7 linked regions of the Oryctolagus cuniculus genome follow. The protein of the gene in region 2 interacts with the protein of the main gene of each other region in a pairwise test. Links are inferred from orthologs where the notes say so. Each region holds a gene or a part of one and is shown on either strand. Other genes may lie near its edges. The genes, in order: SH3BGRL, EGFR, PAK1, RAB3A, ARF6, CEND1 and YWHAB.

Evidence for each region.
Region 1: the proteins of EGFR (region 2) and SH3BGRL interact in a protein complementation assay, tested with the Homo sapiens proteins (2 studies listed by IntAct). The link is inferred for Oryctolagus cuniculus from reciprocal best matches to the Homo sapiens genes EGFR and SH3BGRL.
Region 3: the proteins of EGFR (region 2) and PAK1 interact in a protein complementation assay, tested with the Homo sapiens proteins (3 studies listed by BioGRID and IntAct, with this or other methods). The link is inferred for Oryctolagus cuniculus from reciprocal best matches to the Homo sapiens genes EGFR and PAK1.
Region 4: the proteins of EGFR (region 2) and RAB3A interact in a protein complementation assay, tested with the Homo sapiens proteins (2 studies listed by BioGRID and IntAct). The link is inferred for Oryctolagus cuniculus from reciprocal best matches to the Homo sapiens genes EGFR and RAB3A.
Region 5: the proteins of EGFR (region 2) and ARF6 interact in a protein complementation assay, tested with the Homo sapiens proteins (2 studies listed by BioGRID and IntAct). The link is inferred for Oryctolagus cuniculus from reciprocal best matches to the Homo sapiens genes EGFR and ARF6.
Region 6: the proteins of EGFR (region 2) and CEND1 interact in a protein complementation assay, tested with the Homo sapiens proteins (2 studies listed by BioGRID and IntAct). The link is inferred for Oryctolagus cuniculus from reciprocal best matches to the Homo sapiens genes EGFR and CEND1.
Region 7: the proteins of EGFR (region 2) and YWHAB interact in a protein complementation assay, tested with the Homo sapiens proteins (3 studies listed by BioGRID and IntAct, with this or other methods). The link is inferred for Oryctolagus cuniculus from reciprocal best matches to the Homo sapiens genes EGFR and YWHAB.

What each region holds. Positions count from the first base shown.
Region 1 is NC_091453.1:68,904,764-68,908,866, forward strand, and holds the start of SH3BGRL (adapter SH3BGRL), read right to left. Parts: upstream 2,801-4,103; 5' UTR 2,700-2,800; coding exon 2,613-2,699; intron 1-2,612. UniProt on the Homo sapiens protein: Appears to function as an adapter protein that bridges proteins together or proteins with mRNAs. May function as a ubiquitin ligase-substrate adapter.
Region 2 is NC_091447.1:57,745,895-57,749,933, reverse strand, and holds the start of EGFR (epidermal growth factor receptor), read right to left. Parts: upstream 2,801-4,039; 5' UTR 2,607-2,800; coding exon 2,519-2,606; intron 1-2,518. UniProt on the Homo sapiens protein: Receptor tyrosine kinase binding ligands of the EGF family and activating several signaling cascades to convert extracellular cues into appropriate cellular responses.
Region 3 is NC_091432.1:68,425,034-68,428,533, forward strand, and holds part of PAK1 (serine/threonine-protein kinase PAK 1), read right to left. Parts: intron 3,250-3,500; coding exon 3,112-3,249; intron 1-3,111. UniProt on the Homo sapiens protein: Protein kinase involved in intracellular signaling pathways downstream of integrins and receptor-type kinases that plays an important role in cytoskeleton dynamics, in cell adhesion, migration, proliferation, apoptosis, mitosis, and in vesicle-mediated transport processes.
Region 4 is NC_091447.1:65,551,341-65,555,629, forward strand, and holds the start of RAB3A (ras-related protein Rab-3A), read right to left. Parts: upstream 2,801-4,289; 5' UTR 2,641-2,800; intron 1,854-2,640; coding exon 1,626-1,853; exon of another isoform or gene 1,349-1,625; coding exon of another isoform or gene 1,307-1,348; intron 796-1,306; coding exon 677-795; intron 152-676; coding exon 27-151; intron 1-26. Other genes in the region: MPV17L2 (mpv17-like protein 2), read left to right, coding at 1,307-1,348. UniProt on the Homo sapiens protein: The small GTPases Rab are key regulators of intracellular membrane trafficking, from the formation of transport vesicles to their fusion with membranes.
Region 5 is NC_091443.1:26,198,546-26,202,639, forward strand, and holds the start of ARF6 (ADP-ribosylation factor 6), read right to left. Parts: upstream 2,801-4,094; 5' UTR 2,521-2,800; coding exon 1,993-2,520; 3' UTR 1-1,992. UniProt on the Homo sapiens protein: GTP-binding protein involved in protein trafficking that regulates endocytic recycling and cytoskeleton remodeling. GTP-bound form plays an important role in the transport of multiple palmitoylated proteins form the Golgi to the plasma membrane.
Region 6 is NC_091432.1:319,781-323,714, forward strand, and holds CEND1 (cell cycle exit and neuronal differentiation protein 1), read right to left. Parts: upstream 2,801-3,934; 5' UTR 2,637-2,800; intron 1,648-2,636; 5' UTR 1,576-1,647; coding exon 1,123-1,575; 3' UTR 445-1,122; downstream 1-444. Other genes in the region: SLC25A22 (mitochondrial glutamate carrier 1), read right to left, coding at 3,923-3,934.
Region 7 is NC_091442.1:14,271,414-14,275,584, reverse strand, and holds the start of YWHAB (14-3-3 protein beta/alpha), read left to right. Parts: upstream 1-1,371; 5' UTR 1,372-1,507; intron 1,508-4,171. UniProt on the Homo sapiens protein: Adapter protein implicated in the regulation of a large spectrum of both general and specialized signaling pathways. Binds to a large number of partners, usually by recognition of a phosphoserine or phosphothreonine motif.

The sequences.
Region 1 (4,103 bases), on a different chromosome or scaffold from region 2:
TAACCCAGGTAAACTTCCTACAAATGCCTGGCAAAGTGCAAGTATTTACTGAATGATAACTCTTAATATTATTAACTAAAGTGGATGAATTACAAGGATTTGTGCAAGAAATTAAAGTGAGATGATTTATCATATTTTAAATAAATTAAATAATAGTCTATGCTTGTCTTTCTTCTAAATCAAATTTGAAAATACACCACTGGAAATAATGGCTTCCAATACTACACTACTGTTAAATATATATTCACTGCTGTAATTTCAGCACTGAGAAATATGCTACACCTGGGATGAAACAATTGGCTGAGAAGTAGTGCTGATATAAAACAGACAAAATGTTTTCATGTAGTAAGAGTTACCTGAGATGAGCATTTTCTGGTGTTTAGAAGGTGAAGTTTTATTTGTCATATTTATTCATTGTTGGAAATCCCCCAAGCAGAACTGTTTGGCTTCATGCCAATTCTGTAACAGAGTCCCATTTTCACAAATGAATAAGCCAAAGGAGCAGAACTCAAAGACTAGAGTCCAAAACTCAGAGTTTACAAGTTACAGTAGTACCGCCTTCCCAACAGATTTAGAAGATTTATAGAACCATAAATATCCACCTTTCAGTCATGTTGGTCTAGAGCCACACAGACACTTTTCAGGAAAGTGAATCGAAGCCATGAAAGTTCAAGATGTAGCACAAGCCAGCACAAGAAAGGATAGACATGCACTATTTATAAATGTGTCCTTGGCTAAGGCATTTTATTTTAGAAAACTTAACTTGTAGAAGAAAATGATGCTATTAACTTGCTTACTTCCCCCACCTTCACCCCACATCACTCTCACATGCAGGTTACAGACAAGGACACATTCGATTAGGTAAGGCACCATCCTAGTTTAAGTAGCAATTTTATTTCCAGTACAGTCATATGAGAAACTTTTAATGTACTATTGACATAACTTCTATTCAATACATAAACACAGATGATGTGTAAATAACAGTGTTTAGAAGTAGGTTCTGAAGTCAGACAACCTGCGTTCTAATCCCAACTCTGTCATGTCTAGTTCTTTGGTCTGCAGCAGTGTACCTAATGTCTCCAGATCTTAGAGATACTCCTCCAATTACAGAGAACAGCTTTAGTACTAGCACTTAATTCACCGTATTATTGTAAAGGTTAAGTTAAATGAAACAATGGATATAAAGAACTCAGCACAGTGCTTGACAAATGCAACCCAAAAATAAATGTTAATCTTTACTATTACTAGAAGCAAATCTTGATTAGCCATGTTAATGAAATGGTAGTGCAACCACAAAATATAGCAGTACTTTAAACAGTCTTTGAATTTGTCATATTTTTAAGCTCATATTTGAAATTTTTTATGTTCTGGCAATTAACAATACTTCAAGCCAACACATCCAAAATGTGGGATTCTGGACTGGAAAACAATCTCCTTGCTTTAAATTCTCTGCTTGCCAAGTGTAAAATGTCAGCTTTGTCTCTCATATTAATAAAAACAGTCATCATACATGAGCTTCCTCTTCTCTCTAAATGTACTTTTGTTTAATTTTGGTCCTGGATTGCAAGAAGTGATTAAATTCTGGGTTTAAAAGGACTCCTGGTGGGCTGTAAAGTAGAATTGAAAGGAAACAGATGGTCTGATAGTCACAAACAGATTCTCTCTTAATTTGTTGAATTTTATAAGAAATAGAATACAAAATTCATCCTTTATAATTAAGCAAAAATATTCCTACAGATTTATAGTTGATTATACAATATGTATTTTAGAAAATATATTAGAAGTAGCCACAGTGATTTAGAACATTCAATCTGATTATTTCTAGCACCCTAAGTGATTTTCTCCCCAGGCCAACCCATGGGGAGGGTTGATCCTAAGGTTCGTTGATCAAAACCCTTCCTCAACAGGGTAACTAGTTTTCGCACAAGAGATGAATCCATTTCATCCTTCTCTCCTACTACATTATGAATATTTTACTAAGCTTTCAAACTAAAATTTTCCATATAATCATTTGACTTTTAAGTGTTTTTTAAGTGCTCAAGAATCACCATCATTTACACCTGTGCATCCCAAGGCTCTTCAAGTTGGGCTAAATTACTGCAGTGCCTTTATCATTGTTGTAAATTTAGGAAATCAACCATGAAATATTGGGCACCAAATTGAAGGCAATGATTTTCAATCTGCATTTGCTGCATGAAAGCCTCCATGTTTCAGTGTTTGGGGCATGCAAAAAACATGTCCAGTCATTTGGTGAATGATTTCTTACTTTGGTCTTCTAAGTAGTTTATGAATACCTTTAAAAAGCATTCAAACAAACTTTACCAGTTACGAAAAATACCAAAGTATATATCAAATCAACGCTCAATTTATAAACACAGAAAAACAGAAGCAAAACATTCTGTCATCTACGAAGCAATTACTTGAGAATCATATAATGAAGAACTATGGGGGACAGTGCTGTGGTGTAGCAGGTAAAGGTGCTGCCTGCAGTGCTGAAATCCCTTACGAGAGGTGATTCTAGTCCTGTCTGCTCCACTTAAGATTCAACTCCCCGCTAATGTGCCTGGGAAATCAGAAGAAGATGGCCCAAGTGCTTGGGCCCCTGCATTTACTTGGGAGATCTGGAAGAAGCTCCTGGCTCCTGGCTCCTGGCTCCTGGCTCCTGGCTCCTGGCTTCGGCTTGGCTTAGCCTCAACCATTGCACCTGGGAAGTGAACCAGCTTCTGGCTCCTGGCTTCAAATCAGCACAGCTCCGGCCATTGCAGCCATCTGGGGAGAGAACCATCGGATAGAAGACCTCTCTCTCTACCTCTACCTCTACCTCTACCTCTGCCTTTCAAATAAATAAATAAATTTTTTTTAAAAAAGTTACTACAATTTGTTAATTTATATAAGCACTGGACTTAGTATACTTTCCATTAAGTGTAAATTTATAAGCCATTACAAGACTGAAAAATGGAATATGGCATACATTACTGCATTGCAGTGGGTCAAAACATGTATCAGCCATTCTCAACATGAAGAAATCACTTCCTATAAAAAAAAAAAAAAACCCGACAACAACTTGGGAGCTCCATTCCCTCTAATTGATTCTCATGAAGAGGAAAAAAACTATTAAGGCCAAAAAATTTTTGATGTTGACCTATAAAAGACCAGTTGAGGCTTTCCCAATGCACATGTCTTCTCTGTCTTCCTGATCTTGGGTTAATAGATATTTACCCCACTTACTGCCATTCATCTTTAGGCATAATATCCTTCTCCACATCAGTTTCCCACTTCTCTATTCCCTTACATGCACATTCCCAGGCAACTCCTTGTCCATTTACCGGACTTATTTCTTGCCTATCTCTTACCTCATGTTCACATCTATCTCCTCCTGCTTTCTAGCTGTCATGTATCATCTTGGTGGTTAAGCACAGTTTTTTTTTTTTAATTCAAAGAGCTTGTGTTGGAGTTAAACTCTATGGCTTACAAGCTGTGTGACCTGGAAAGTTTTTTAACCTCTTTGAACCTCTAGTTTCTTCACTGTAAAACAGAGATAATCACAGTACCTAATTCATAGGACCATTTTAAAGAAAACTAAAGCTAGTACTTGACACAGTTAAGTGTTTCTACTGGCTAACATTAAGAAATCCACTGTGAGGCCAGCATTATGGTGTAGAAGGCCAAGCCCCTGCCTGCAATGCAGTTCGAGTCCCTGCTTCCTACTAATGCACCTGGGAAAGCAGGAGAAGATGACCCAAGTGCTTGGGTACCTGCCACCCACGTGGGAGACCAAGATGAAGTTCTGGGCTCCTGATATTGGTCTGGCCCAGATTCAGATGTTGTGGCCATCCGAGAAGTGAACAAGTGGAAATCAACCAATCTCTCTCTCTCTCTCTCTCTCTCTCCCCCTCTCTCCTTCTCTCTCTGTAACTGCCTTTCAAGTAAATAAATAAATAAATATTTTAAAAAAGAAAGAAATCTATTGCAAAGTTCAGCTTACTTGCTTTTCATCTCCAGATTTTTGAGAGGGAAGTGTTACTCCTCTATTGTGGGAAAGAGTTAAATAAGTTTGAAAAATTGTGGCTTTGTAAAAATTAGGCTATGAGGTATAAGGAGTC
Region 2 (4,039 bases):
ATTTTGGCAGCTGGCTTCTTCAAACACCAGAGAAAGGTTTGTGAAAAACGATGGATTATGAAACCAAATGCATGAAGCCAGAAATGACTGTTCAGAGCCGGCTGGAGCTATCACCAGGTTTCTGCCTGTCTGTGCGATAGACAAGACTCTGAAAGAGTAAAAAGGAAATTTACTAGTATTTAGCGACTTGCAGAATCCCATTTCCAGTAGCTGTCATAACTCTCCTCCCTTTTAACTCATGATACCAGGCACGCACAGTGAATACTGAATTCACAAATACTGAACTCAGAAAGGGGATCGAGAAGCTTGGCGCTTGGATGTGACCTGTTCACCTCCACCCGCAGCTGGAGTGAGAAGACAAGGCCGGCTGCCAGGCCAGCCGGGGCATCCCATCCTTCGTCTTGGATTCCCTACCACCTCTGCTTTGGTTTCTCTTTAACACGGCCCAGGCCCACTGAACCAGGGGTGGCCAGGCTCATCCCCACAAGAAGCTTGTGGCTGAGAATTCCTGAGCTCCTGGGAACACCCCAGGACCTCCTCCTCAGCAGTGCCTTCCCTGGAGCGAGGATCCAGGCCTTGTTCAACTCCCCTAGCAAGCTTGGCTCAGGGATTTGGTGACAGAGCTGTCCCCACCAGGCTGAGGAACCCTGAGGAGAGCAGACCACTGGTTAGCAGGGTGTGTTTGCAGCCTCAGGAGGGGAGCCCAACTTGATGAGCCGTTCCTGGTACTTTTCCTCTGTGCTGCAAGTGAGGTGAGTCAGCCGCGTACACCTGACCTGGCTCCCCACACCTGGGCTGCAGAAGGCAGTGGCGTCTCAGCCCTGACCCTGCCTCTTGTGAGCGGTGGGGAAATCGATCTTCTCCTGCAGGGCGGGAAAATGAGGAAGGAGGTGAGGACGCAGGAGCCAGGTCTGGTTGTTAGATCTGAGGGCAGCCAATACCGGTTTCCTAGCTGAGACCCAAAAAACCCTCACCAATTCTCCTGGAATGGAATTGGCACGTGATTGACATGGGTCCTTAACAACTTCTATAGGAAGATTATGCCTCGCAGTTTTAGTAATTAGATCCTCGCCAGTCTCTCTGCCTCATGTTAACGGAGCGTGCGCGCCCTTTCTCACCACAGCACTGGCGAACACAGGGCAAACAAGAAACAAATCTCCCACCACGGCGGCAGCGGGGAGGCAGCCCCACTTAGGAGCTGGGCGCACTTCTGGGGTGAGAAGGCACTGAGCACTCGGTGTACCGGAGCCGCGCACCGGGGGCCTCAGAGCCCCCTTGGCCAAGCCCTGCCTTCGCGGCGCTCTGCGAGAGCTGCGCAGATTGGGGGAAGCTCCACGGCTAGCGGGTGAGCCTTCTGGACACTTCGCCCTTCTTTCCTCCACGCCAGGACTCGCAAGCCTGCCCGAGCTGTTAAAACCCAAGGCCGGCTCTCACCCCACACCAATTAAATCGGGGTATCCGTGAGCGGGAGCCGGACGTGGTCCTCGCTTCCTCTCCCCCGCCTCAACCTCCCCTCGCCCTCTCCCCTCTTTTCCAGTTCGTTGTTTATTACTATTTTCGTTTTTCAGTCCCAGGTGATTCCCACCTGCAGCGAAGTTTGGGGCCGCCGCAGCACCCCTGGCCCGCAGACGCGCCCGGCGCCAGAGCCCAGACCCGAGGCCGATGACATCAACGGCAAGCAGGGACCTGACTCTCTCGGAAGCCGGCCCAGCCGGGGATTGTGCAACGCGGCCTCCCGCGGCGGGCGTCTCGCGGCGAGGCCCACTCCGCGGGGCCTTCGCGCACGTGGGGCCCGGACCGCATCCTTTCCTGGTTTTGATACAGTTTAATATTTTGGTTGGCCCAATATCAAACTTTTCAGAAAGCAAAAGGAAACGCCAAAAAGGAGAAAATCTTGGGACTTTGAGAAAACCGTGGGGGACGCGCAGGGCGGGCTCGGAGCCGAGACCCGCCGCCCAGCCAGTCCTGCGGAGCAAGCACGCAGGTGGGGGCCGGGTTCGCCGCGCCGCCAAGCACCTGGCCCGGCCGCACCCGGCCGCTCGGCGCGGGGCGGGGACTGCGCGCCAGGGGCGTGCCGGACAGGACCCCAGCCCCAGTTCCCCGCGCCGTCCCGGCCCAGCAGCCTCGCGTGGTGGGCGACAGGAGTCCTCCAGCCCCCGCTCCGGCCGCAGCCCCTCACGCGGGAAGGGCTCGCGGGGCCTCTGGTTGCAGCCCGGGACCGGGTGGGGCCGGCGCGGGGAGGGTGCGCTCGGGAAGCGCCAGTCCCGGAAGGTGCGCGCAGCTCCCGGATCCAACCTAAACTCCCAGGGCCGCGGGTGGGACGCACCGCCCATGGGTGCGCGGACTGCGCGGGGCGCACGTGCCGGGTATGGAGCAGCTTGGGCAGCGCTCGGCGCCGGAGCTCCCCTGGTGCGACTCGCGCAGCCCAGGAGCTAGACGTCCAGAGCGGTTTCAGCCCGAGGGTCCTCACGGAAGTCGGGAAGACCGCGGCGCGGTGTGGTGCGGGTCGCGCCCTTACCTCTCTTCTCCTCCAGCGCCTGTCCCGCCTGCAGGAGCGCGGCCAGCAGCGCCAGGAGCGCGGGCCCGACCGGCCCCGAGGGTCGCATCGCTGCCGCTGCGCGCTCAACTGTGCGGTCGGTTCGGAAGGGCGTCGGGCTCCGTGCGCGGGGCAGACGCGGGCGCCTGAGTCCCGCCTGGGTCCGGCCTGGGACGCCCGCGCCTGGCCTCGGGGACTCCGGGCGGCGGGTGAGGAGCGGCTGCCGCGCTGCGCCGAGCTGCCCAGACGTCTGCCGGGCGGCGGGCGTGGGGAGGCGGCGGGAGGAGGGCCCAGCGGAGGAGGAGGGGTCGGAGGCGCGGAGGAGGAGGAGAATGCGAGCGGGAGGAAGAGCGGCGAGCGGAGGCGTGGACGCCGCGGCCCCGCGGGACCTGGCGCCGGGAGCGAGTTCCCGAGAGGGGCGTTCCGCGCGCCGCGACCCCAGGCCGGGTCGGTTCCCAGCGCGGGGCGCAGCCGGGCCTGGTCCCCTCACCGGCCCCTTCTGTAGACGGAGCCACCTGGAGCAGGCTCCGGACAAACCGGCTGAGCCCGAGGGCCGAGGTGGGTGACCACGCAGAGGGGCCGCTGGGGCCCCGGGGCAAGAGTCCCCAGCAGAGCCAGACCCAGACGGGCGGCTGGGGCCCCTAGGGGCCCCCTGAGCGCCCTCGAAGTCGTTGGGAACGAGCGCGCTCGGCTCCCCGCTGGGAGAGCGGCTTTCCTTTGCGTTCCTTGAGTGAATGCGTGAGGTCCCGGTGCGCCCACGGCCTCCACTGTGCCAGGGACTGGCTCCGGGAGCGAGGGCCGAGGATGTCGGTCGCGCACAGCACCGCAGACGCCAGCAAGAGTCACTGAGGATTTGGCCACAGGAAGTGGAGCTTCCTGGAGCTGCGGGGACTTTCTCTGAACCCTTGGGCCGAGGGCACCCCGCCTCGGCTCCAGGGCTTCTTCAGCGCTTCCCTGCTCTGCGGGTTTGCGCCCCGCCCGGCCGCGGGAAAGGTGGGGTTTGCGGGGAACCAGAGTGAGCGGCTGGCTTGTTCTTTGTTCTGAGGAATCGCGGCTGCCCCGGGTGAGCAAGGCTGTGAAGTCCACAGCCAGCCGTGTGTTTGGTTCCCAGCCCACATTCCAAACCAGAAGACTTAGAGCAGGCTGCAAAGAAACGCAAATACAAAAGCTAGAGACAAAAGCTAGAAGAGGAGCCAGGAAACAGAAGGGCACCCGTGATCCTGCGTTCCGCTACAGGAGCCACGGACGAACCCTAGGCACACTCGCTGCCCGCCAGGATGATTGGTGGCACAAATCGTGGTGTCCATGTGACCCTCGACTGACTTTTAAAAGTGCAGCGATTTATCCTGAGTACCCCAAAAAAAGACAAAGTGTGAGACCTTCTGGGCCCCCACCACATTCCTCCGTGGTGCTGGGGAGAGCTCTTCCAGGAACGGTGGCAGAAGTCCGTGGAAACTCTGGCCAGGCTCGGGGCCCAGCACTGGGATAGAGTCCTGCACACAG
Region 3 (3,500 bases), on a different chromosome or scaffold from region 2:
AACCTTCATGATGTAAGATTTTAAGTATGGACTGGTGTACCACAGAGCGTTAAACAGCCATTTGCAATTTTGGCATCCCATATCAGAGTGCTGGTTTTAGCTCCAAATGTTCTGCTTCCAATTAAACTTCCTACTAATGGTCTGGGAAGACCACAGAAGATGGTCCAAGTAATGGGGGCCCTGCCACCTCTGTATGAGAACAGGATCGGATTCCTGGTTCCTGGGTTCAGTGTGGTCCAGTTGTGGTGCTGTTGTACCAATTTGGGGAGTCAACCAATGGACGGAAGATCTGTCTCTCTCTCCCTAGCTGTTGTACTGCCTTTCAAATGAATAAATAAATCTTTAAAAAAAAGATTTTAAGAGTCATGGTTCTGAATCTTTACAATAAACACTAGAATCAGGCCGGTGCCGCGGCTCACTAGACTAATCTTCCACCTGCGGCGCCGGCACCCCAGGTTCTAGTCCCGGTCGGGGCGCCGGATTCTGTCCCGGTTGCTCCTCTTCCGGTCCAGCTCTCTGCTGTGGCCCAGGAAGGCAGTGGAGGATGGCCCAAGTGCTTGGGCCCTGCACCCGAATAGGAGACCAGGAGGAAGCACCTGGCTCCTGGCTTCAGATCGGCGCAGCATGCCAGCTGTAGCGGCTATTGGGGGGTGAACCAATGGAAAAGGAAGACCTTTCTCTCTGTCTCTCTCTCTCTAACTCAGCTTGTCCAAAAAAAAAAAAAAAGTTAAAAAAAATATACACTAGAATCAGTGTTCTCAGACCACATGTTTCTTTAACTCCCCTGAGTTGAAAGAATAGCTCCCAACTAGGAGGTCTCAGTTTCCATCTCTGAATAAAGAAAAATACAAGCCCTAACAGCCTTCCAGTTGTGACAGTCTCTGAGTTTATAATAGTGGCCAAGAGCACACACACTTGAGGGCCAGACATAGGTTGAAATCCTGTATCCACTACATTTCAGCAATATAATCAAGGGAAGTTACAAAATACTTGAAAATTCTGTTTCTACACCTAAAAAATGGGAATAATAGAACATATAACTCACAGGACTGCTGTGCAGAATAGATAAAAAATTATATATGGTGAGGCTGGCATTGTGGCATAGCCAGTAAAGCCACCACATACAATGCTGGCATCCCATACAGTGTCAGGAAGAGTCCAAGCTGCTCCACTGCTGATCCAGCTCTCTGCTACGGCCTGTGAAAGCAGTGGAGGATGGCCCAAGTGCTTGGGTCTCCTCACCCCATCGGGAGACCTAGAAGAAACTCCTGGCTCCTGGTGTCAACCTGGCTCAGCCGTGGCCATTTGAAGAGTGAAACAATGGGAGGAAGACCTCTCTTTGTCTCTCCCTCTCTCTCTCTCTGTAACTACCTTTCAGATAAATAAAATGAATCTTTAAAAATATTATATATGAAATGCTTAGTGCCTAAAATATGGTGAAGATCCAATACAATGTATCTATTAGTAGTTATATTAGCATGTCAGGAAGAAAACTGTAGCATACACTGACCTCTCAATAAAAGTAATTTGATCAAAAGTTAAGAACTCAACATTTGGGCCAGATAGACATAGGTTTGGTTCAACTCTACCATCTATCTATCTGTTTAGTGGAGTGTATTTCCACAAAAATCACTACAATGTAAAACTGGAGAACTATGAATAGATCAATGTACTCAATCCATGCCTGTATCTTTGTGACACTGTGCCACTGTGGGAGGAACTGAGTAATATATGGAAGCTTTCTGTATTGTTTCTTACAATTGTATGAAGATATAAAATTATCTCAATTAAACTAAACTTTCAATAAAAATGTCTAAAAAAGAGAATTTGATATTGAATTACACCTATCTTCACAGCTATAACAACATACTATTGGCACATTTCTAAAAACCTAGGGTTTTCAGAACACAACTACTTTTAAAGACTAATTCTTTATTATACTGTCTGTAATAAGGGTTTTTTTTTTTTAATCCCAAAGGATCCTAGAAACTAATGGGATACACTTAGCAGAATCCATTTCTGTTATCTAATAGGCCAGTGCTCTATAATCAGTAACTTCAATTACAAAGAGATACTAATTATGTTCCAGAGAATGAAAGGCTACTGTAGGTAAATTCTTTAAGCAGCTCCATTCTACCCAATAAATATTCCCTGAGTACCTATTCTGAGTCTTGTCCCAGGTACAAGAAGAAAGAGAGTTTGAATAAAAAAGAATTTATAATCCACTGGGAAAGGCGGAGAAGTAGAGATATTCATAACTGGCTTTAACACAAGGCAGTACACGAAGTACTCCCCTGCCCTGCCCAGTCACTCCTGGGCCTCATAATACAAAAGGAACTGAGAGTATATGCCTGCAGGTCAATCACTACCATAAAGTTGTATGTGACATGTGCAATAAAATCACCAGGGAGCAATGTAGTAAAACAATCTTAGTAATAAGAAATTGTACTGGGAACACAAAACTTAGATACAAATTAAATATTAAATGTGGTCCTCTAAAGACAGTTTCTGAAATCATACAAAATAATTATGCTGCAGTTCAGGATTAGGCAGGTTGGTGTTTAAAAGGCTTGGTAAATTTTTGGTTTCGCTACAACCCTCCAAACAAGTAGAACATCTTTGCCATGATCTGAGAGGTTTCCAGTGGAAAAAAGAAAAAAACAGTAAAGACTTCAGAAATCACAGTCACTAACTGGGATCTAAACCCAGTTTCCTTTGTTGAGAATTATTTCATTAGCACTTATTCTGTAAAATATAACTTGTGTAATATTTACATGTCAGAGCTGCTTCTCACCAATGCTCAAGCAAATCCTGTCAGACTAATTCATGCAAAACAAAGGAAATGTCAAAGAAAGATACAGGCAAAGTTCAACAAGGAGCTCAGAAAGTAGGTTTGAAGAAGCTACGAGGATGTGTAGAGTTTTAATGAGCTGAGCAAGAGGCTAATGGAAACATGAGCAAAGGCCCCGGAATGAAGGATAGGGAGCTAGGATTACAGCAAGTGTGGTAAATGGTAGGACAAAAGCATAGTTCTTTATACACAAAAATGAAGCACAAAAGGCTAGATTTACTGACGCCTTGAATTTGGTGCGTCCCTGCAGAGACACTTACCTGTAGCAGCTCTTTTGCTGAACCTCTCTTCTCCACATCCATCTCGAGACAGCGGTTCAGAAAGTCCCGGAAAATAGCCGACAGCTTCTCTGGGTTCTGAAGCTCTGGGGTTCCATTGGTGGCAATGAGGTACAAGGCCTGGAATACAAACGGAAAATCATCTTGGGCTCAAGTTGGGATTCACTCTTGGTACCCACATGCAGACAACATGCTTAGGGTGACACTATTGATAACCCCAGTCTTATTTCCATCATACCCCATGATCATCATCTTCACATCTCTGGAAAGCCATTCTAAGTCTGAGACAAGGATGTAGGGTCAGGGAGTAAAGCTTAAATCAAAAGGTAAGAAACCACAAAAGGTACACTGAAGCATTTTCTAACAATCAG
Region 4 (4,289 bases), about 7.8 Mb from region 2:
GCACTGGCCCCGGCGCAGGCGCTCACCGAGGTGGTCGGCCAGCTGCCGGCCGCGCTCCGAGGACACCACCCGCTCGTCCTCCATGTCACACTTGTTCCCCACCAGCAGCACCTGTGCGTTGTCCCACGAGTAGGTTTTAATCTGGGTGGACCTGCAGGAGGCGGTGACGGTGGAGTTAGGGCTGGGCGGTTCTGGCCTCACACTGGGCAGCCCCTCCTGGAAACCCGAGTCCTGTGCCTTCTGCCCAGTGCTTGTTCCAGAAGGTTCCCTGCCCTTTCAAGCAACCTCTTCGACCCTGAGTCATCTCCCGGGGCCGGCACTGGGGCGCAGCGGGTAAAGCCCCGGCCTGCGGTGCCTGCATCCCACAGGGGCGCCGATTCTAGTCCCGGCTGCTCCACTTCCCATCCAGCTCTCTGCTGTGGCCTGGGAGAGCAGTGGAAGATGGCCCAAGCCCTTGGGCCCCTGCACCCATGGGGGTGACCCGGATGGAGCTCCTGGCTTCAGCCTGGCCCAGCCCTGGCCATTGCAGACATTTGGGGAGTGAACCAACAGACGGAAGACCGACCTCCCTCTCTCCTTCCCTCCCTCTCCCTCTCCCTCCCTCTCTCTCTCTCTCTCCCTTTCCCTTCCTCTCTGCGTAAATCTTAAGCGAGGCGACCCCGCCCCGCGCGCTCACCAGTCCTGCACGGCGTTGAAGGACTCCTCGTTGGTGATGTCGTACATGAGGATGAAGCCCATGGCGCCGCGGTAGTAGGCGGTGGTGATGGTGCGGTACCGCTCCTGGCCCGCCGTGTCCTGGGGAAGGGGCATGCTCAGAGCGGGCTACTCCCAAAGCCCCGCCCTGGGGGACAGGCCACCCCCAAAGCCCTGCCCTGGGGGACGGACCACTCCCAAAGCCCCACCCTGGGGGATGGACCACCCCAAAGCCCCGCCCTGGGGGACGGACCACTCCCAAAGCCCTGCTCCAGGGCCTAGGGTGGGAGGCGACAAGGGCAGCTCAGGGGCGGTGGCAGGTGCGTGGCGCCCAAAGTGAACTCCACCGCAACTCCCCGCGCCCCCTATCCGAGTGCCTGGGGCCCAGTCCCGGCTCTAGAGCTCCATCCGGGTCCCCCACACGGGTGCAGGGGCCTAGGCACTCGGCCCATCATCCACAGCTCCCCCAGGCCATAGCAGGGAGCTGGATGGGCAGTGGAACGGCCGGGACTCGCACGGGCGCCCACACAGGATGCGGGCGCTGCAGGTGGGGGCTTTAGGAACGAGGCCACAGCGCTGGCCCCGGATGAACAGTTCTCGTTTGCGGTCACAGGTGGACACAGCGCACCTGCCCCACGGAACAAGGTCCAGCTGAAATCTACACAGCCCACATGGAAGCCCTTGTAGATGGGGAAACCGAGGCAGCACTGTGGAGCAGCAGTTACACCGCCGCGCGGGGCCCCACATCCCTGGGTTCCCGCCCAGCTCCCTGCGCATGCGCGCCCTGGGAGGCAGCAGGTGCTGGCCCAGGGGCAGGGGTCCCTGCTGCCCCGTGGGAGACCCGGATGGAGCCCCGCCCAAGCTCTGGCTGGCATTTGGGGGCCGAGCGCGTGGGGCTGGCACACAGTAGGCGCCTACTGCATGCTGCGCACCCAGATCTGCAGCTTGATCCTCTTGTCGTTGCGGTAGATGGTCTTGACCTTGAAGTCGATGCCCACGGTGCTGACGAAGGCGGGCGTGAAGGAGTCGTCGGCGTAGCGGAACAGGAAGGAGGTCTTGCCCACGCTGCTGTTGCCGATGATGAGAATCTTGAACATGTAGTCGAAGTTCTGGTCCGAGGGCTCCTTCTGCCCGTAGCGCGAGTCCGTGGCCGACGCCATCTGCGCGGGGGGGGGGGGGGTGAGAGCGGGAGCTGGCTGCAGCCGGGGCTGCCGGGGACCCAGACCTGGGCTGCGGGGGTAGGGAGCCCCGGGCTCGGGGAGGGGGCTGCGGCCTCGGCTGCCCCTGGCAGCAGGAGCCCTGAGCAGGGGGCGGGCCGTGACCTTGACCGGTGCAGACCGCAGGGGATCCCCGCTAGCAGCCCAGGTCCCGCTGTAACCCTAAACCTACGGCTGCAGCCTGAGTGGGGGTGACTACGGCCGCCCCCCCTCAATCTTGCCTGGTCCCCGGCACGCAGGCGCACGTGCACCTGCCAGCACCGCCCCACCCCCACCACGCGGGGACGCGCGTCTGCAACCCCAAACCTCGAGGCCAGGGCAAAGAAGGGACGTGCACGCGCTCACGCCGCGCAGACCCACAGGAACGTGGACCCTCGGGCGTGCACGCGGCTCTCTGCACACGCGTGCGGCCCGTATGCCGGCAAACCCAGGCTCCCGCGCCAGGGTAGGCGGGCGCGCACACGCAGGTGCACACCTCGCGCACGCGCACGCAAGAGCCTCCCGCGCGCAGCGTCCCGCAAGGCGCTCGCCGCCCCTCCCCCCTCGCCGCAGCGCCCGGGGGTGGGGGAGCGAGGCTCGGGCGGCGGCGGGGGACCCCCGGGCCCGCGGCCCCGCACCCTCCCCGCCCCCACGCGCCTTCCCCCGCCCCCTCCCCACCGCCACCCGCCTGTCAGTCACGTGAGGGTTCAGCGGCGCGGGGCGCCGAGGCTCGGGGCCGCCGGGGGCTCACCTCGCCCTGCACCGGCGCGGCGGATACCCCTAGGCGGAGCGCGGGGCGGCAGCTGCGGGACCGGGGCGCGGAGAGCGTGCGGGGCTGCCCGGCGGCGGCGGCGGCGGTGGCTGAGGCCCCTGCAGTCCTCCGTGACGTCCTGCAAAGAGCGGGGCGGGGCCTCGCATGCAGATACAGCCGTGACGCCACCAGAGGCGGGGTCGGGCCGGCGGCTGCGGCTCCCGGACGCAGGCAGAGCCGGGAGGGGCGGGGCTGCCGTGCAGATGGACGCGAGAAGTGGGCGTGGCCCGGCGCGCGCGTCCAATCGGGGAAGCAGGTCCCGCCTCTCACCTCCCTCAGGAAGGCGGGGCTGCTTGGCGTCAGCTCATTGGCTAAGAGGTGCAGTGACGGACCAGCAAGCCAATGAGCTTCGCAGACGCCGTCCCCCTGGCCAATGGAGGGATCCCAGGCGGTTGAAGGGGTCTCTGGGGGGGCGGTTCCCTTCCCGGCCGCGCCCACCCCAGGTCGGGGGGCGTCGGGGCTGCCCCTGCCGGGTCCGCGGTGCGGCGACTTCTCGTTAGGAGCCCCGTCTCCTGAATTTCAGGAAAGCGGAACCGGGGCCCGGGAGACCCTCGTGCCCCGCCCTTGCGTCTGGGGGTTCCTGAGAAGCTAAAAGAGGAAGGGGCTCGTCGGACAGCCCCTCGCGCGGTCCCCGACCTGAAGACCCCCGGGGAGGGGGGCCGCCGGCGAATCCCTCCCCCGGCGCGCCCCGTCTCGAGCAGGAAACAGAATGGGCGGGGCTCAGTGCCCGGGACCCCCAGACCCGCGGTGGAGATCCCCAGCCAGCGTGGGTCGGGGGCCAGGTGACCCCTCCCCGCTACCGAGAACCCAGGGCCGGGCGGAGGGCGGAGGGCGGGGGCGCCCTCGGCTCTGCTCTCGCTGCGGGGTCGGCGGCAGGGCCCCCGCTCCGTTCCGGGCCCGCTGGTGCCACCCTCTGACCCCCGCCCCGTCCCGGGTCCCCAGGACCCCCCGGCCCCTCCCTTGCCCAAAACTGGAGCGGAGATGGGCTGGGGCTGGGGGGCACTCGCCCTGTTCCCGACACAGCGCCGGCGCCCCCGCCCCGCGCCGCGGCCTGGAAAGTCCTGCCCCCCCCCGGCGCCCCCGCGTGCGCGCCGGGAAATTCACTTCTCTGAGTCACGTGTGAGTGCCCCCACGGGCTCTGAGCGTCACGACCCCGGCCCCTCCCCGTCTGGGGCCCTGGGCCCCGCCCCCACTGGGGGGCTCTGGGCGGGTGCGCGGGTCCCTGCGCGGGCGGGGGCTCTAGGCGGGGTGTGTGGGGCTCTGAGTCCCCCGGGGGAAGCAGTCACGAGACCACAGCACCCCGTGTGTGGATGTAAAAATAGAAGCGGTGGCTGGCAAGGCTGGCAGACGGGGAGGGGGGCCCCGAGTTTGTCTCCTGCCTGGCGGGGGTGGGGAGGCAGCAGGTGGGGGAGAGGCAGGTTCCCAGGTCCGAAGCCGCCCCCCCCCCCAGCGGCTCCGTGTCCCGCAGGACCTTTGCGCCTGCCGCGCCCGCTTGTGGGGGCGCTCTGCCCGTCGCTGGTGTCTCACCCTCGTCTCTGGGGACCCGAGGTGGTCGTGACCCCGAAATCACACGGTTCTCCCCGCACAGG
Region 5 (4,094 bases), on a different chromosome or scaffold from region 2:
AGCAACCATAATGTTCTTAGGATGTGTTTGATCAGCTTCATTTTTAGAGATACTTTCACTAAAGTGAAACTGACTACTTTATACTTTAGTTGCATCTTGAACTCAAAAATCCCTTTGTACCAGCCGGAGCCTACAACATAGCACCTTTTCTCATCTGCTTGAAGAAAAATGCTTTGTCAAGAGTTTTACTTTGAATGGTTGATTTTTTTTTTTAAAATAGCCTTATGATTCTCAGATATCTTTGGTAAAAGCTCCATTATACAATATGGCCAAAGCATGAAGGACCAATACTGTCCAACTATACCATGATATCCCGCTCAGTTTTGTTTTCAGACACCCTCATAAACGAAACCCACTCCACTTTTTCCTGTATACTGCCTTTGCAGTCTACATTTCTGAAATTCCCTAAGTTTAATTCCTTGAGGATCACTAAAATTAATCCTTAAGGCTATATAAGAACCAGATGGTGCTTCACAACTCTGTATCAAGCATTAACATTTGGTTCAAAATACTACCATAGTGGTCTCAATCTAGCTACTGGTCCTAACTTGCTACCCAAGTAATTCTGTTAGGATCTGGATATCACCAGTGAGCACACTGCTTACCCTTGAAGAAAAATAAGTTTACATTCATTGTCATCTGTAGGTTCTCTCTTCAGCCCACTTCCCCTTTGTCATCCCTTAAGTCTACACATCCAACATTCATTCATCACATTGCCTTTCTTAAAGGAGACAGTGTACTATTGAACCAACAGGTTGTCTTACTATTTGCACGAGTTAATCCCACAATCAAACAAAATTAAATATCTTTTTTATAAAACATCTTTTCCAGTGTTCTAATTAAAGGAGATGTGGATCACTCATCTATAAAAAATGATATATCTTCAGCTTAGTCAGTTGCAGTAATGTGAAAACAGGAATGTGTATTTTTCCATCTAGGTAAAAGGTGCATATAACTTGAATCATTAAATGCTTTATTAATGAACAAACTAATGTTTCAGTAACTTTAATACTACTGCTCTTAAGACACTTGAAACAATGTATAAGTATTCCAGTTTTGCCCAAAAGTCGCTTAAAATATCTACAGATATCTGTGTGTGGCACACACCATTATTGCTCCATTTTCTGGAAGGAGTCTATTTTTGATGTTAAAAAAAGGAAAAGTTGCTAACTTTGCAGTGAAAAAAAACCTCATGTCCTTGGCGGGTTATACTTTCATATTTTTTGCAGTGTTAAGTTTGCTATGTTATGACGACCCTGGGTTTTATTCCTACTCATGCATGATGTATGTCTTAGGAGTTAATAGCTGACATTTCAAATAAGTTCTTACATTACCTGTTTAACATACTGATGTGCAACTGGAACATATTACAATGATATTACTCATTATTTGCCACTGTGGGCTAAGTTTACTTATACTGGTCTTAGGTCACATTTGAAATTACTAAGTTAGAATTCATAAGGGGGGGAGCCTTAAATATAAAAGACAAACGGCAGTTTGATTAAGCAATAATTTTCAGTTTACTAGATGAAACAGACTTGCAACATAGTCTGCATGAATGCAAAATAAGCCATCTACAGCAAGTGATAAGGAAACTGGATAAAAAAAAAAGGAAAAAAGCATACATTTGGGGGGGAAAAAGATTCTCTAGAAATAAAAAAATCAAACCATTATTATAAAGGACTTTACCAAGAACTGCTGTATTTCCCCCACCCCATTTGCTGGAAGTCAACAAGAGCACCTAGCACTTTGTGTTCATGTCAAACGTCAAATCAGAGCATCCTAACGCAAAGCGGAATAAAGAAAAGAAAAAAAAAAAAAGCAAAAAAAAAAGAAAAACCCCAACCCCCCCTCCCTAAACCGTAGAACTGTAACTCCAGAGTTCAAATTCAAAAGAAGAGAAAGTGGCGATTGAAAGAGGTGATGGTGGCGATAATCCTATGAATGGGTTTTTGATTTCTCTCCTTCCGGGGGCTGGGTGGAGAATGCTCATTAGGACTTGTAGTTAGAGGTTAACCATGTGAGCCCCTCATAGAGTCCGTCCCCTGAGGTGGCACAGGAGGGCTGCACATACCAGTTCCTGTCCCGAATCCGGGTCAGGCCCAGTTTCTCCTGGATCTCATGGGGTTTCATGGCATCGGGCAGGTCCTGCTTGTTGGCGAAGATGAGGATTATGGCGTCCCTCATCTCCCGGTCATTGATAATGCGGTGCAGCTCCTGGCGGGCCTCGTCGATGCGGTCGCGGTCGGCGCAGTCCACCACGAAGATCAGACCCTGGGTCCCGGTGTAGTAGTGCCGCCAGAGCGGCCGGATCTTGTCCTGGCCTCCCACATCCCACACGTTGAACTTGACGTTTTTGTAAGTCACCGTCTCCACGTTGAAGCCCACGGTGGGGATGGTGGTCACCGACTGGCCCAGCTTCAACTTGTACAGGATTGTGGTCTTGCCGGCCGCGTCCAGGCCCAACATGAGGATCCGCATTTCCTTGTTCCCGAAGATTTTGGATAGCACCTTCCCCATCGCGACGGAAGAGCCGGGGCCGGGGGCATTCAGGTGTCCCGGTTCCCCCTCAAGCCAACAACGCCGCCGCCGCCGCCGCGAAACCGAAACGAAGCCTCCCTGCCGCGAGGGCGCCCGTGCGGCCTGCGTGGGAGTCGCCTCCTACGGGGCGAGAGGCCCGGGCCTGCCGCTCACTCGGGCATCACCGACCCGCACAACTTGGTTCCTCCAGCCGCCGCCGCCGCCGGGGCCCTGAGTCTGCGCCCGGAGAGCCGCCGCCCTGCTGAGGCGCGGCCCGGCCCGGAACTGCCCTTCCCCCCCGCAGGCGCCGCGCGAGCGCCGCCGCCGTGCCCGTTCCTCCGCCCGCCCGACGGCCCGCCGACTACCGGGCTCGCCACCGACCCAGGCCACCCGTCAGGCAGCGCGGCGCCGGCGTCCCGTCAGGTCATGGATCCTCGCGGGAACTCAGCGCGCTGCCTGCGGAGACACAGAGAAGGAGAAGGGAGTTACCGCCGGAGCTCCGAACGGGAGCGGGCGCGGAGGCCGAGGCCGCCCGCCTTAACAGCTCGGCCCCCGGGTGTCGGTGCCGGGTGGTGGTGGTGGGGGTTACCTCCAGCCGCCGCCCCGAGCACGGGCTCGCTCCGGCCGCCGCCACCTCCTCCCAGCTCTGCCGCTGCCGCTGCCGGAAAAGGCGCCCAAGAAACCGCCTCACTTCCCCTCCCGACCACGCAGGCGCAGCGCAGGCCGACCGTTCGGACAAGAGCGACCTCTGGAAGGAGAGCGGCCCGCGCGCCCAGCGTCACGGGCGCCACGCGCCGGAGGGGGCGGGGCTACGGCGTCCCGGAGGGCTCGCGGGTGCCGCCCGCCCGAGCCCGCGCGCCTCGGGCTCTGGCCCGCGCCCACCTGTCGCTCTCGCCGCGTCTGCGCGCTCGGCGGCCCCTTCGTTCCGCGCCTCTGCCCGCCCCCGCAGTCCGGGGAGCAAATACTCCGGGGAGGTGGGGAAATGGAGCCTCCGCAAGGGCGGGGCCGCCGGACGAGCCGCCCCCACGGAGCCGCTTGCAGGCCCGGAAAGTTCGGCGGACTTCGCGCGCCCCGGGTCTCCCGGGGACGCCTTGGCCGCTTTTTAGCTTTTTCTCCGACCCCCTCCTTGGTATCGTTGCCTCTGGTGTTCAGGGTTTTCCTGGAAGACGCATGGGAGGCCGGCGCGCTCGTGTTGAACCCGCCAGTCAGTGGCGCGCCGTGGCTGGGCTCGGGTTTGCTCGGAAGCCCCTCTCTCGAACACTGGAGCCCTGTCCGTGTTGCATCAGGACCAGCTCACGTTTCTTGTAAAAGCTGGCGGTGAAGAGCTTTCTGGAACGCGATGAACTGTTCTTAGTCCAGTGTCACTTCCTTTTAGTATGGGAGCGGCAGCTGCTCACCCACCCACCCACCCGTGCTGCAGTCACCTTAGCGTAGGGTGTAGAACCTGAGAGGCCACTTAACCTCGTTCGCTGATCTCCTGTGTAAACTGACCTCGCTTACTCCGCCCCGCTTGGAGGATGAAATAATACCATGTTGGTGGAAGACCAAGGAAATCTTTGTATCGAAGGGTTACT
Region 6 (3,934 bases), on a different chromosome or scaffold from region 2:
GGTGCCCAGGAGAGCCCACAGCACTTCTGGGGCTACATGGAGGCCTGGTCAGCTGGAGGCTGCTTGGGGTGGGCTTGGGGGCCTGCGTGCCTCCAGGGAGAGGTGCTGAGAGGCCGACAGCAGGGCCCCTCCTGGAATGAGGCCCCCGTCCCCGATCCCATGGCCCCACTGCTCAGTGTCCCTCTGGTGTGAGGGCTCCCGGGAAGGCTGAGGGTCTGCGAGTCAGCCCATCAGGCTCAGGGGCATTGGGGCGGCAGGGGGCCGGCCAGGGGACCTGGGGCTCCCCCACCTGTCCCTGGAAAGCCCAGCATGGGCATCTGTGCCTTCCTCATTCCCCCATGGAAGCCCCGCCCCTCCCAGTGCAGGTGAGACGCCCCCACCTGGGCCTCACGGCCCCCACCCCCTACCCCCTACCCGAGTGCAGGGTGAGACGCCAGCCCAGCCTTCGGATAACAGAGTTTATTTCAGACTCGGCCTCTCCTCGGGCCCGGGGTGCCCACGGCCACCACCCAGATGTGGGCACACCTCGCTCCCACAGAGCCAGCCCTCTGCCACAGGGCCGAGGGCCAGAGTCTCCCTGCAGGCAGGATGGGGCCGAGCACGGGTGTCGCTCGCCCGCCAAATGGTTCTACTCTACCGGTATTATTGCATTTATACGCTTGTTAGACAGGGGGCGCTGGAAGCAGATGGGAGGGGCCCTCGCGGAGCTGGGGGCGGGGTCCTCAGGGTCCTCCCCTCCCTGGGGCTCTCGGCTGCCCCCAGGACAGTCGCCACTCTGGGCAGGGGGTGAGGCAGTCCCAGCCCCAGGGGCTCCCGGGCACAAGCTGGGAGAGGTGCCCTGGGCAGAGCCCGGCCAGGGACTGGCGGAGGCCGCCTCCGGTCAGCCCCCCGTGTCCCGCCCAGCTGCACACAGAGAGCAGGAGTGGGGAGAATGAGACACCACGCCCTTTAATGCCCCATCCTTCTCCACGGCCCTAGGGCTGTGCAGCCGGGGGCGGGGCTGGGGAGTGCGTGTGCGTGTGTGTGCGTGTGTACACGGATGTGTGACGGTGAGGCCTTGCATGCACTGCCCTCCAGCTCTGTACAGAAAGTGGCTCCCGGCCCCGAGCTGGGCACCGGGCATCATTTTTTCCGGGCCCAAAAGACCACTCCAAGAACCAGGGCCACGGCTGCCACGGCCACACCCCCGGCCACCAGCAAGGGGGTCAAGTTCTCCAAGGGCCAGGGCCCTCGGCCCCCGGGGCCCCCGCAGGTGGATGCGTGCTCTTCGGCCCCATCCCCGGGACCCTTGGGCTCTGGGGCTGCGTCGGGACTGCCGGGCGCGGCGGGAGCGGCGGGGGCGGCGGGGGCCGGCTTCAGGTTGCTGTGGTTGTTGAGGAGGGCGGGGTCTGCCTTGGCTGGCGCGGGGGCAGGGGCTGCCGGCCGCTCCTGCCTCTCCGTCTGGGCCTCCTTCTTCACGGGCTTGGCGGAGGGAGCTTTTCCGTCGGTGGCTGGGGGGGCCTTGGCCTCAGTGGCAGCCTGGGGCACCTTCGTGTCGGGCTTGGGGCTGCTGGTTCCCTTCCCTCTGGACTCCATGGCAGGTGGGGCTGCTGGGCGTGTGGGACAGGCAGGCGGTCAGCGCGGCTGGTCCCTGAGCATGGTACGGGCCTGCAGGCAGACACCAGGGAGGGGGTGGGCAAGGCTCCGCTCCTGGGCGCCCCCACCCCTGCCTGGCTCATGGTCCCCCCAGGAGTCCCCTCTAGGGAGCTTCCTGTGGGTGTCAGACCCTCCTCTTGCTGGTCTGGCCTCCACCAGCTCCTGCCCTCTGGCTGGCCGCAGGTGGGCAGACAGGGCCCTCCTGCAGATCTGGGCTACGCCCCTGCCGCCGGCGCAGGGCAGGGAGGCACCGAGGGGGAAGAATCCGGCCTGCGCACTCAGCCCAGGTGGGGAAGGGCAGGGCGGGGCCGGCTGCAGGCGGCTGCTGGGGTTGGGAGTGGGACTGCAAGGACCTGGAGGTGGCACTGAGACTGCTCCCTGGAGGTCCCCTCTGCAGGCAGCTCAAGGACACTGAGTCCTTGCTGCCCCGGGGCAGTGCTTGCCTTGGGGACGCAGGTGTCCCCAGAACAAGCCTGCAGGCCAGGTGCAGGATGGGCTGGGCCTCGCCCAGATTCTCAGCGGCCCAGGTGAGGGCGGGGACAGCACCCCAGGCCCAGCCGCCTGCCTGGAGACCTGGGGCCGCCTGTCTCCCCTGGGGGAAGGCTGAGGGGTCCCCCAGCCGGGAAGGAAGAGGGAGCCAGTGACGAGGCTGCCGCTCAGGTTCCCCACCCCGGGCCTGATGCAGTGACCTCACTGAAGGTCATCTGAAGGTCACCGCGTGAGGAGGGTGTCCGGGGAGAGGACCAGCCACTGCCCCGCATCCCAGGGAGCGAGGGCCTCCCTTTCCCACCCCCAGCGCCCCCGGCAGGGGGGTGCCAGCCGCTGGGCATCACATGCGCAGCGGGCAGTGGTCTCCCCCTCCCTTATTTCTGAGCCCTCTCACCTCCCAGCCGCTTCTTCCCCCTCCCAGAGCCACGGTGCTCAGGAGAGCACCAGGCAGGCTTGCACCCCCAGGCACCACACTCGGCCCCCCCCGCCCACCCGCGAGCCCCCCGCCTTACGCCGTCCTGCGGGCCTCGCACCGCGGCGCTGCGTTCCCTCTGGACGGCGGGCGGCGGCTGCCCAGGCGATGCGATGCGATGCGATGCGGTGCGGTGCGGAGAGCCTGGGAGATGCCCACAATGCACCGCGCCCGGGCAGAAGACCAGCGAGGGGCGGGGCCGCAGGTTCAGCGCCCGCCCCTCGCGGCCACCGCGGCTCCGCCCCCGGCCGGGGCGAGGCTTAGCGCAGGCGGCCGCCCAGCATCCCGGCCCCTCCCCCAAACAGACTCCCAGAGAGGCATCTAGGTAGAATATTTATTTATCCTCTTACATGACAAGACACAAAAAATTACTTTTAAAACTCTTCAAAGGAAAAAAAAATATAATCTGTAAGCAGCAGCACAGCTTCCAAGGTACGGAGGTGACGGGGAAACCGAGAACTGAGCCCAGGTAGTGTCACGGGGTGGGGGAGGGCCTGGGGCGCCCAGTCTGGGAACACAGCACCAGCACGTCAGATCAATCACCAACACATTCACATGGCAGGGACGGGCGGGGAGAGGCCTCCACCCAGCGTCTGGGGGTCTGGGGGTGGCCAGGGGCCTCCGGCAGAGGTCCCAAGAGCAGTGGACCCTGGGGGAGGGCAGCCCGGCCGCTGGTCTTCCTGCTTGCTCTCCGGCCGACCAATCCCAGGGCAGGGACGGGGGTGTCTCAGGAGAGGTCTGCAGGAGATGCAGCAAGAGGGGCCGGGCGGGGCTTCTCTGGACAGCCTGACAGCACCCGGGCCCCACGGGGCCAGGCCAGCTGAGGGCTGGTGGGCGGGACCTGCTCCCCAATCACCCACCCCTCACAACGTGTGGGTCCCACAGGGTGGGTGTGGCTCCCCCCCAATGCTGGCCAGGCCGACGTGAGCTAGGCAGCAGGGCCGGCCGGCAGGCCAGACGGACGGACGGACGGACGGGAAGATGGCAGAGCCACGTGGGCGCAGCAGACTCAATAAATAGATTTGTATGGATCCCCTCCGTGGACCAGGAGGGCCTCAGAGATGAGAGGCGGTGGACTGGAGGGGGTGGGGTCCAGTCTGCCCAGCCCAGGCCTGGGAGCCCCCAGCCCAGAGACCAGCTCCGTCCCCGGGGGCCTTCAAGCCGGCACAGGACTGGGGCAGGGGCTGGCTTGAGGAATGTAAGAATCTCCGCATTTTCTACATAAATAAGACGTTGATCCCAAAGGTTGGGCAGGCGAAGCCCTGGGTGTGTGCCACCCACGTGGACCCTGCATCCCCTCCCAGCTCCCCCGCCCCGGGGGAGGGCTCAGGGCTGGGG
Region 7 (4,171 bases), on a different chromosome or scaffold from region 2:
ACTGCCAACTCAAACTGTTTAGAAATAGTCCCGCTGGGGGGTAAGGAGTCATCCAACGGGGTTAGGGTATTTACGATGGGTTATGTATGGGTAAGGGGAGCTTCTGGAAAACCTTGATTGTAACACTCAAGGAACTTACTATTGATAGTTTTCAAGGTCTGAGTGATCAGCAAAGGATTTAAGTAGGGACAGAACATGATTAGAATGGCATTAAACATTTTTTAAAAATATACTTGAGAAAGAGCACTCGCATTTACTGGTTCACTCCCCAAATGGCCAGACCAGCCCAGGCAGAAGCCAGGAATAGGAACTCAAACCATGTCTCCCAGGCGAATGGCAGGGATCCAACTGCTGGAGCCATCACCTGCCGTCTCCCAGGGTGGGACTTAGCAAGAAGCTGGAATCTGGGTGCCCCCCACCGTAACTGCTACACCTGCATTTTTAGATCAGTAGGCAGCTGATAGAGGCGGGGCTGGGCATGGTGTGGCGAATTAGATCTCTATCATTAACTAAATAAGGGTAAGGGAGAGATGACAGCAACGCGACCCAGGTACTTTTTTCTTCTGCCGCCAGACTCCCAGGGGAGCAGGGCCCCCTCTCTCCTGTGTATTGCTGTCTCTCCAGCACTAAGCGGAAAACCCGCTCCGCATCTGTCAGCATGAACAGGTGAGAGGCCAGAGAGGGTGAGGGGCCACGCGGCCCCGTGCGCCTCCCTGCAGCTTCCTCAATGAAGAAACCATGTGCACAGGTTTTTTTCAGAAGACCTTCACGTGGCCTCTTCAGGCTATGAGGGCAGGAGATAGTCCCTTAAGTACAGAAAGGCGGATAAACCGAAAACGGGGGGACGAGCAATTTCTGTCTTCCGAGGTCCAGTTATTCGCACAGCACGCAGCCAAAGGGTGTGTGCGCTGGGGCTCCGACCCCCGGGAGGACTACTTCCGGGGTGGCGTGGGAACCTGCACCCTGGGAATCGCTGTGCCTGGCCCTGCCCAGGCTCCAACCTAAGCAGCGCGGGCGCTCCCCCACCCGAGTCCTCCCTGTTCCCACACATCCCATCTCTGGACCTCCACCCCCATCTCCGCCCTCTCTCCTCCCGCCTCCTCTTCCCGTCCCCCCGCCCCACTTCCTTCCCCTTCGGCCGCCTCCTCCCTGCTACCTCTCCCGGCCCTGCGCCCGCCCCGGTCCGCTGCGGCCCTGCACTGGGCTCTTCTTCCTCCTCCCTGCCGTCAGCGCCCCTCTCGGGCGGCCAGGGCAACCCCGTGCCTCACTTGCCCAATGAGAAGACGGCGCAGGGAGGGGCGGGGCTTGAGCCAAGCGGAAGCGGTGGCCGGAGCGGAAGTGGAGCTGCAGCCACCGCCGCCGCCGATTCCGGAGCCTGGTTAGCTGCTGCCGCTGCCGCCCCTGCAGCCGCCGTCGCCGCTGCCTGAGGAGCAGGCTTGGGAAGGAAGCGGTCGCCGCTCTCGGAGCTTCGCTCGGAAGCCTCTTTGCCCCCTGCAGCCCTCCCACGGTGAGTGCGGCGCGGGCCCGCCCGGGGCCCCCAGGGGCCCACGCTCCAGGTCCCCCTCAGCCCGCGGCTGCGATGTCGGCCCTGCGGGTGAGCCCCCGGGGGTGGCGGTGCGCGGCTGCCGCGGCCCTGGCTGCCGGCTGCGGCGCGGGCCCGACCTCGCCGCGGCCCCTCCCTGTTTCCGGGGCCGGGCCCTTCGCCTGCAGAAGCCCGGGCCTCCCGCGCCGCCGGCGGCCCTGCCAGGCGGGCAGGGTGCGGCTCGGTACTGCGGGTCGGGGACGGCTGAGCCTTGGCCCCGGCCCCTCCCTCCTGGCTGGGCTTTTATCCCCGGCGCGACCCCTCCCTGCGCCTCGGTCGGCGAGAACTACCCTTTTCAGCCCTGTCACTGCGGCTCTGGGGCTTTCCGGCTTCCAAAAATTAAAATTTAAGCAAACGCAGGCGAGTTCTTGCGCCCCGGTGCCCCTGCTTGGCTACCCCTGGATGAGTAAGGGGTTTAACCTTGGGAGACAGCAGGGGGGAAACCCCCACCCACTTTGCAGCAAAGCCATTTCATCATCCTCCGCTGGGTACGGAGCCCGGCAGGACCCGAGATTCCCTGGGAAGATCAGGTCGGAGGTTTGAAGCAAGAAAATGCATTTGTTGGGACCGATGTCTGAGTCAGGCCGGATCTCCAGGGGAAAAAAGCCACCAGCTGGTGTTGGGAATATTTTCCCAGGGCATGCGCCGTCATTTAACGCCCGAGTGTTTCGTGTCCTCGGCCCAGATTCCCCCTGACTGTGTGTGAGAGCACGTTTTTCAGTCCCGAATTTCCCTGGTAGCCGGGGGAAGGGATGAGAACGCTCGACTCCTTTTCTATAGAAGCTGAGTCCATTTTTGCCTATTGCAAATGGAGAACTCGCATGTAATGGAGTTTTCAAAGGTGGCAGCATTGGCTAAGACAGTTTGCCAACCTTTCTGTAAAAATACATGGCGTCTTGTCCTTGCCTTTGCTGCAGTTCTCTTTGGTAAAGGCTGGATGGCATCAGGCTCTGATTTTCCTTGCCCTGTGTGGGAGCTGGAATTTGGCAAGATGATGTTGCGAACATAGAAAATCGGCTGGCTACAGGAGCCACGAGGGAGAAATGGAGCGCTGGGAAGCTGAAGGTTCCTTGCACTGATTACTTTGTCTGAATGGTCCACATGGAGGCACACACCATATACAGTGATGTAGAAATGGACACGTGGCCACTGAGATTTCTGCATCTTCCTGTTGGAATTTTGTATGTATAGAAATATTGCTCGGTAGTGAATTTCTTCATTGCTTCCAGTGCACGCCATTTCTTTCTCAGGGATATTTTAGATATCTGAGCCCTCATTTTTTCTGACCCATGTCTCTAACAGCACATAGTATGGAGAGTATAAAAACTGGTCAGTTTTGTCAGGTCCAAGTTGGAATTTTAAGCTTGGCCTTCAAAATGGGTGGCTGCAAATCCAGTAGCAATGGCTGGATTATTTTCCCATCTGCCTTCAATGAGATAAGTCAGTCACCCATCTTACAGATGAAGTCTGTATGAGAAAGGTGATTTGGCCTAGCCCACACACTTAGCTTCACACTGAATATCCTTATTCATCAGTAGCAAATATTTATGGACCGTAAGCCCCTGGAGTATGGCTCCTACCCTGTAATTTTGTGTACATTTCCCATGATGCAGTGCTTGTGTTATGGTGAAGCCATTTTAGAATTGGATCTCCCTGGATCAGGGAGGCAGCCTTTCTGAAACCAGGCTGAGCAGATTCCCATGGTGCTAGTTCCTAGGCAGCGTCTCCGGAGATCTGAGCCACTGCGAAATGTGCATCTTGCCCATTTGGCTGTAGGTGCAGAAACCAAAGGAGTATTGAAATTGGAACCAGGTAAATGCACTTCAGATGTAGGCGGTAATATTTTTTAGTATGATTTGCAGCATTTTAGTTAATCTCTAGTGTGGTCATGAAGCTTTTTTACAAACTGTAAATTGTTAAATGAAAGCTTTTGCTTTTTTTTTTATGACAATTTGCTTTTCTCCAGTTACATTTGAGACCCAGCCCTGCTTTGTGCACATACTGCTTTCAAAAAATGGTGTTGTTACCAATTTTTATTTTGCACATAGAAAATCTAGTCTGTCATTTTCTCATCTGTACAGTGCAAGTGGTGATGCAGCCTTTGATGTATTGTGACAACTCAGTAATTAAAATGAGCATCTGGGATACAGAAGGTGATTAACCACATGCGTGAATGTGCACATGTGCAGATCAGGCGTAGCGTATATTGTATGACATAAACAGGAATGTAGACTACACCTGTTTGATTTATTTATCACCGATGAAGTAGCATCAAACAGTAATAATAATAAATAATAATTACAGTATTTGCTGTGTGCCACAATTTGTTCTAAGCATTTTATATTAGTCTTAATAACAACTAGTGAGAGGTAAATACTGTTAGCCTCATTTTACAGATGAGGAAACTGAGGCACAGAGAAGAATAATTTTCCCAAGACCCCTTCCATGTACAGCTCAAGGTAAGTTCTAGAGTCAGGAAGGAATTGGAGCCAGGTGATCTGGCACTAACAAAGAGTAGGTGTCTACTTGTAGAGCAACACATGCCGATCATTTATTTAAACACCATTTAGCCTTTAATTTCTCTTTACA